2 linked regions of the Ovis aries genome follow. The protein of the gene in region 1 purifies or fractionates together with the protein of each later gene. This does not show direct contact. Links are inferred from orthologs where the notes say so. Each region holds a gene or a part of one and is shown in the gene's direction. Other genes may lie near its edges.

Region 1 (4,175 bases):
AACTAGGATAAAGGAAAGGCAGAATGGGAGGCCAGAAATTCAGGAAAAATCCTTTTATGCACTTGCAAAAAGCAAGAACTTTATTTTGCTACTTTGCTTTGCTTACAGCGTATTTACAATTAAGGCGGCAGCGGCAGCGGAAAGTGGCTTATAAGACCTTGATTATGGGAGGTTCTCCAACATAGTTTAGCTCCAAATGCAAGCTGTTGAAAACTTAACCCCTTAAGTAGCCAGCACCAGACAAATTGGGAGAATTTAATAAAATGGCGTTTGCTGGAGTCTCACAAAGACCTCGCAAATCGGTCACCTCATTAACTGGCTGTGTGAGAACTCTCACCAGAGTTCTTGCGCCTGTACCCACAGGGCTTACACCACATTTAGAGGCATCCGCCTGCCTCTCCGCCCACCCCTAAAGGGGTGAGACTCGAGAAGTACTTTTAAGAGCGGTTAAATTAAGACTCAAAGGAGCCTTGGTGTCAAAGCAAAACTTTGCGCCGAGAGGCTCGGCCTGACACTTGTTGAGCTGCACGATTCAGCTGAAGCGTTGCTACCTAATCACTGTAAAGACGTCCCCAGAGGAGGGCCAAAATGGCGACGGACTCCTCTTGGCACAGCCCTGTTCCTCCCGGCTCTGGTAACGCCCATCAGCCAAGTGGAGGCGGTGGCTGACTTTCCCCCGCGCCACCTCATTGGACCGAACGACTGAGGCAGAGGCCAATTCTCCTCTGCCCACTCCAGGTTCTTGCCCTCGGAGCTCAGGCGGCTTTGGATTGGCTTTTATACACGTCAATTTGCGTCCTATCGCGTCTCTTTTCAGTGTTAATCCAATCATAACTTTCCTGGCTGCCCGCCTGATTTCTGATTGGTTTTGATCTGCTTCATCCTATCCCATTCCTGTCTACTTCTTATCTCCTCCCACTAGGACTTTGCCCAGGCACGTCCGAGCTTCTGGTTGGTTGTTGTTCTGTCATTCCAATGAAAGCTCTTCCAATCCCTCCTACTCACGGAGCCCGCCTGGCAGTTGACTGGCTTCTTCCCCAAGCCCATCATCTTTAGTTCCTGCCCACCTTCACTTCCTGCCTCTTTCATTGGCCTCTAAAACTGAGAGGCCGATCTTTTGGGGCGGACACCACGCACGCAACTTTGTCTTACACGCCTTAGAGAGCAAGCGAGCCTTGGCATTGGGCAATCTGTCCGTCTTTCTTCTGCAAGTCCCTCCTTTCTCCCTCCCTCATTGGGCGGGGCAGCAGTAAAGAGGCGGGGCCTAGGCCGGGCTTGTGGCGCGCTGCTCCCTCCTCCTTACCCCCCCCTCCCTGTCCGGTCCGGGTTCGCTTGCCTCGTCAGCGTCCGCGTTTTTCCTGGCCCCCCCCAACCCCCCCGGACAGGACCCCCTTGAGCTCGTCCCTCAGCTGCTACCATGAGCGGTAAGGATGAGTCCACTCCAAGCTTAGGGGTGGGAGGGGAGTGAGGGGGCGCGCGCGAGGGCTGACCGGGCGGTCCCCGCCGTGAGGGGGGGCGGGCGGGAGGCGGCGGCGGCGGCCTTGGTCCCGCCCGGGGCGGAGGGAAGGGAGGGAGAAGGGGCAGTGGCGGGGCCTCCGAGGAGGAGGAGGGGGATGGGCCACCCGCCCCGGGGGAGGGGGCAGCGTGGCCTCGCCCGCCCCCTGCCCGCCCCGGCCACGGGGGACGGGCCTTACCCCCCACTACTCGGCTGCCCGCCTGAGGCTCCTCCTGCCGGGGGCTGGAGCCGCGGGGGCGGCCCGAGCAGAGCAGGCCCCGCCCGGGCCAACCGCCTCCCTGGTCCGCCCTCTGGTCGCCGCCGGCCCCAAGGCCCTCCTCCCTTCCCCCCGTGCCGTAGATTACCCCTCCCCCCGTAAATTACCCCTCCCCCCTACCGTCCCGCCCTTTCCACGCCCCACACCCCGAAACCGCCCTTTCCCTCTAGGGCCCGCCCTCTAGCCGCCCCGAATCGCTTGATTTCTAACCCCTGGACCTCTTTAGCCCCTTATTAGTATTTATAAATGTTTCCCCACCCAAACTTTTTATCTGTTCTTTTCCCCTTTCTCCTCCTTTCCTCTTGTTACTTTTTACACTTGAGTTTTTCTCTTTCTCCATTTCCTTTGACCCTAGTTTTTAGCAAACTTTCCATCCACCCACATGTTTTATGCCTTATCTATCCTTTTTTCCCCCCTAAGTTACTTTTTCAACATGCCCGCCGACCCTCGTATTTCCTGTACCAAAAGCACCTTTTCAATGTTTTCTGAGTTTAATTTTGTGCAAGGGAGAATTGAGGTCCAGTTTTGGCATCACTGAGCCTAGATCACATCCTACTGGTCTGCAACTGTTCCTTCTCCCCGAATCCTTTTTTTAATACTGGCGCCTTTCACCTTCCTGTTAGTCATTTGTTTCATCACAGCTTCTTTTATCCTTTCTCACTTTTTAAGTTTGCTTTATCCAATTTTAAATTATTTAAAAATTATTTCTAGACCAAGATCACTCCATGGATGAAATGACAGCAGTGGTGAAGATTGAAAAAGGAGTTGGTGGCAATAACGGGGGCAATGGAAATGGTAGTGGTGCCTTTTCTCAGGCTCGAAGCAGCAGCGCAGGCAGTAGCAGCAGCAGCGGAGGAGGAGGGCAGGTAAGTGATGATCCTGACAGAATGGGGAAGGTGCTGAGAGGCTGTAAATATCCTTAGATGACTGTAGATGACTGTCTTTTTACAGAAAAAATTTTGGGGAAGGGCTAAACCATTTTATAGATAGGGAAGTAAGCACAGAGACAAGTGACTTGGAGATCCCCCTAAATGAGAGTTTCAACAGTATAGATAGATCCAACTTTTTGGTTGGTTGGGTTTTTCTTTTTTTTCCCCTTTTGCGCTGTTACACTGCCCCCTGGTCTGGCAAATGGGTATCACTAAAGTAACTCCTTTCCTCTCCCTTATTTCTGGCCAGGAATCCCAGCCATCCCCTTTGGCTCTGCTGGCAGCAACTTGCAGCAGAATTGAGTCACCCAATGAAAACAGCAACAACTCCCAGGGCCCAAGCCAGTCAGGGGGCACAGGTGAGCTTGACCTCACAGCCACACAACTTTCCCAGGGTGCCAATGGCTGGCAGATCATCTCTTCCTCCTCTGGGGCTACCCCTACCTCGAAGGAACAGAGTGGCAGCAGTACCAACGGCAACAATGGCAGTGAGTCTTCAAAGAATCGCACGGTCTCCGGTGGGCAGTATGTTGTGGCTGCCACTTCCAACCTTCAGAACCAGCAAGTCCTGACAGGACTACCTGGAGTGATGCCTAATATTCAGTATCAAGTAATCCCACAGTTCCAGACCGTTGATGGGCAACAGCTGCAGTTTGCTGCCACTGGGGCCCAAGTGCAGCAGGATGGTTCAGGTCAGATACAGATCATACCAGGTGCAAACCAACAGATCATCACAAATCGAGGAAGTGGAGGCAACATCATTGCTGCTATGCCAAACCTACTCCAGCAGGCTGTCCCCCTTCAAGGCCTGGCTAATAATGTACTCTCAGGACAGACTCAGTATGTGACCAATGTACCAGTGGCCCTGAATGGGAATATCACCTTGCTGCCTGTCAACAGCGTTTCTGCAGCTACCTTGACTCCTAGCTCTCAGGCAGTCACGATCAGCAGCTCTGGGTCCCAGGAGAGTGGCTCACAGCCTGTCACCTCAGGGACTGCCATCAGTTCTGCCAGTTTGGTATCTTCACAAGCCAGTTCCAGCTCCTTTTTCACCAATGCCAATAGCTACTCAACAACTACTACCACCAGCAACATGGGAATTATGAACTTCACCACCAGCGGATCAGCAGGGACCAACTCTCAGAGCCAGACACCCCAGAGGGTCAGTGGGCTTCAGGGATCTGATACTCTGAACATCCAGCAGAACCAGACATCTGGAGGTTCACTGCAAGCAAGTCAGCAAAAAGAGGGAGAGCAAAACCAGCAGACACAGCAACAACAACAAATTCTCATCCAGCCTCAGCTGGTTCAAGGGGGACAGGCTCTTCAGGCCCTCCAAGCCGCCCCATTGTCAGGGCAGACCTTTACAACTCAAGCTATCTCCCAGGAAACCCTCCAGAACCTTCAGCTTCAGGCTGTTCCAAACTCTGGCCCCATCATCATCCGGACACCAACAGTGGGGCCCAATGGACAG
Region 2 (3,674 bases), on another chromosome or scaffold:
CAGGGTGAAAAAGCAAGCTCTGGGTCCAGACCCCTCTCACCACACAGCAGGGGCCTGCTAAAAGAGGAGAACTCCTTCCTCCCTTCTGCATGGCCCCCTGGGTCCTGCCTGGACCCCCACCCACCAGCCTCAGATACAGGTGCTTTGGGAGGGGGATGACGAACAGCTCTGAGGGTGCCTGGATAAGGGCTTTTCTTTTGAGAACAGTGGGGAACATGAAGCTGTGTGATCTTGGGTGTGCTGTGGGCCTCTGGGCCTCTTTGTACTGGGAAGAGGCCCTTCTTTCTGATGTGTGTCCCAGAGCGGTGAGCGTTTGGGAGTCTGCGTTGGAGACAGTTAATACAACTAATAAAGATAACAGTAAGGACACCCTCGCAGACTTAAACTTGGAGAAGCCAAGTGACTAGTCCAAGGTCACACAGCGTGTGGTCGGGGGGCACCCCACCCCCGTTCCACCCTCCGGGGAGGGGGCCCCAGGTCAGGGCGGGGTGGGGCTGGAGAAGACCCAGGTGTGGTCCGAGGGGGAGGGAGCAGGCAGGTGCGGGGGGCGGGGCCGGGGGAGGGGCGCTCGCCCCCTTGTTTGCACCTCCCCAAGCCCCCAACCCCAGGTCTTCCTATTTCAGAAGGGGAGTCACCGCAGGTGTGAGTCCCTCCTGTCCAGATCTGGGGAGGGGTGCCAGTTTAGCGGCGAGGCCGCACTCGGGGGAGGGCTGTGGAGGCGGCTCACCCCTCCGGGAGTCCGAGCTGGAGGGGGTTGGGGTCTCCAGCATCCCTGGCTGGGGGGAGAGGGGCGCGCCCCCTCCCTGGAGAGCCAGGTCCGGCGGCCGCGGCTCCCGAAGGCCAGCGCCTCCTCCAGCAGGGGGCGGGCGGCGGCCGCGTTCAGGGTGGGAGCAGACGGCCGCCCGGCCCCCTCCCCGGGTTCCCCCTCCCTTCTCGTCCGCCGGCCGGCCCAGAGGGGGCGGTCCGGGGGCGGGCTCGCGCCTCTCCGCGCTCGCCATCTCGGGGCCGCCGGGTGGGAGTGGACAGGGCGGGGGCCCGAGGCCGCCCCCCACCCCGGCCCCGCAGGCCGGGGGACCCCCGGGGGCGCGCTCCGGGTCTCCAGGCCGGCCCGCCGGCGCCCGGCCGGGGGTCCCGGGCGGCCGCGGCGTGTCCTCTGCGTGCCCGGGGAGGGAGGGGCCGCCGCCGGGCGTGACGCAGCCGTTGCTATGGCCCGCCTTTATAAATAAACGGGCTCGGGAGAAACTTTAGCGAGTCAGAGCCGCGCACGGGACCGGGAAGGGGACCCACCCGAGGGTCCGGCCGGCAGCCCCCCGCACTGATAGCGGCCACCCCGGAGCAGCGGCGGCGGCAGCAGCAGCAGCAGCGGCGGCGACACAGCAGCGACTGTTCGGAGCCGGGAGGCCGCGCCACCTGCGGGCCGGCCGGCGCGGGCAGCCCCAGGCCCCCTCCCCGGGCACCCGCGTTCATGCAACGCCTGGTGGCCTGGGACCCAGCATGTCTCCCCCTGCCGCCGCCGCCGCCCGCCTTTAAATCCATGGAAGTGGCCAACTTCTACTACGAGGCGGACTGCTTGGCTGCTGCGTACGGCGGCAAGGCGGCCCCCGCGGCGCCCCCGGCGGCCAGACCCGGGCCGCGCCCCCCCGCCGGCGAGCTGGGTAGCATCGGAGAGCACGAGCGCGCCATCGACTTCAGCCCCTACCTGGAGCCGCTGGGCGCGCCGCAGGCCCCGGCACCCACCACGGCCACGGACACCTTCGAGGCGGCTCCGCCCGCGCCCGCCCCCGCGCCCGCCTCCTCCGGGCAGCACCACGACTTCCTCTCCGACCTCTTCTCCGACGACTACGGGGGCAAGAACTGCAAGAAGGCGGCCGAGTACGGCTACGTGAGCCTGGGCCGCCTGGGGGCCGCCAAGGGCGCGCTGCACCCGGGCTGCTTCGCACCCCTGCACCCGCCACCGCCGCCGCCGCCGCCGCCGCCGCCGGCGGAGCTCAAGGCGGAGCCGGGCTTCGAGCCCGCGGACTGCAAGCGGAAGGAGGAGGCCGGAGCTCCGGGCGGCGGCGCCGCGGGCATGGCGGCCGGCTTCCCGTACGCGCTGCGCGCCTACCTCGGCTACCAGGCGGTGCCGAGCGGCAGCAGCGGGAGCCTGTCCACGTCCTCGTCGTCCAGCCCGCCCGGCACGCCGAGCCCCGCCGACGCCAAGGCACCCCCGGCCGCCGCCGCCTGCTACGCGGGGGCGGCGCCGGCGCCCTCGCAGGTCAAGAGCAAGGCCAAGAAGACGGTGGACAAGCACAGCGACGAGTACAAGATCCGGCGGGAGCGCAACAACATCGCGGTGCGCAAAAGCCGCGACAAGGCCAAGATGCGCAACCTGGAGACGCAGCACAAGGTCCTGGAGCTCACGGCCGAGAACGAGCGGCTCCAGAAGAAGGTGGAGCAGCTGTCGCGCGAGCTCAGCACCCTGCGGAACTTGTTCAAGCAGCTGCCCGAGCCCCTGCTCGCCTCCTCCGGCCACTGCTAGCGCGGCCCCCGTGCGCGTCCCCCGCGGCCGGCCGGCCGGCCCCCGCGCTGCCGGGCGCGCCGCGGCCGCCGAGACTCCGGGGAGCGCCCGCGCGCCCGCCCGCGCCCCTGGCGGCGCCGGCAGAACTTTGGCACTGGGGCACTGGGCAGCGCGGGGAGCGCGTCGGTAATTTTAATATTTTATTATATATATCTATCTATATTTTTGTCCACACCAGCCGCACGTGCAGACGGGGCGCCCGCCCGTGGTGTTATTTAAAGAAGAGATGTCTATGTGTACAGATGAATGATAAACTCTTGCCTCTCATTCTGCCCACCCCCCCTCTCTGGGCGCCGGCGGGCGGGCCGGTTTCGAAGTTGATGCAATCGGTTTAAACATGGCTGAACGCGTGTGTACACGGGACTGACGCAACCCACGTGTAACTGTCAGCCGGGCCCTGAGTAATCGCTTAAAGATGTTCCTACGGGGTTGTTGCTGTTGATGTTGTTTTTTGTTTTTGTTGGTGTTTTTTTTTTTTTGGCCTTTTTTTTTTGTATTATAAAAAAAAATCTATTTCTATGAAAAAAGAGGCATCTGTATATTTGGGAATCTTTTCCGTTTCGAGCATTAAGAACACTTTTAATAAACTTTTTTTTTTTTTTGAGAATGTTTAAAAAGCCTTTTGGGGGCAGTAGTTGGCTTTGATTTTTTTTTCTTCCCCTTTATTTTGGATTTATATTTGCCTTTCTGGTGTGTGGGGGGTTGTTGTTGTGTGTGTGTGTGTGAGTGAGAGCTGCTGTTATTTTTGGCATTTTAGGTGGTTGGGTGGGGGTGTTGCAGCTGCTTATTCTCCTCTGCTACTCCCCCCCTCAACCCCACCCCCAGGGCCTGTGCTTGGAGATGGGGGTATCAGGCCTGGCGCGGGGGAGGGGCAGAGGAGTGCTGGGTCAGGCTTTGAGGGTGACTCAGTGCGGCTGAGTGCTGGGGAGGAGTGACTAGGAGCCCTGCTTGGGGAGGGCCTGCAGGGCCTCTGGCTGGTCCTGAGTCCGGGGCTTGGGTTTGGAGGGGCTTTGCGGGTTCTGATCTCTGCACAGCGCGTGGGGACCCAGCCCATGGGACTGTGACTCTGAAAAAGAAGGGGTACAGGTCTTGGTCCTACTGAGCCCAAATCGGAGCA

Evidence for each region. Proteins that work in one complex are often made in the same cells at the same time.
Region 2: the proteins of SP1 (region 1) and CEBPB purify together in Homo sapiens (affinity purification with western blotting; 4 studies listed by BioGRID, with this or other methods). This does not show direct contact. The link is inferred for Ovis aries from reciprocal best matches to the Homo sapiens genes SP1 and CEBPB.

Annotation. Positions count from the first base shown.
Region 1 is NC_056056.1:133,125,939-133,130,113, reverse strand, and holds the start of SP1 (transcription factor Sp1), read left to right. Parts: upstream 1-1,301; 5' UTR 1,302-1,417; coding exon 1,418-1,424; intron 1,425-1,694; exon of another isoform or gene 1,695-1,835; intron 1,836-1,940; exon of another isoform or gene 1,941-2,390; intron 2,391-2,483; coding exon 2,484-2,638; intron 2,639-2,951; coding exon 2,952-4,175. UniProt on the Homo sapiens protein: Transcription factor that can activate or repress transcription in response to physiological and pathological stimuli.
Region 2 is NC_056066.1:78,225,736-78,229,409, forward strand, and holds CEBPB (CCAAT/enhancer-binding protein beta), read left to right. Parts: upstream 1-1,246; 5' UTR 1,247-1,465; coding exon 1,466-2,518; 3' UTR 2,519-3,158; downstream 3,159-3,674. UniProt on the Homo sapiens protein: Important transcription factor regulating the expression of genes involved in immune and inflammatory responses. Also plays a significant role in adipogenesis, as well as in the gluconeogenic pathway, liver regeneration, and hematopoiesis.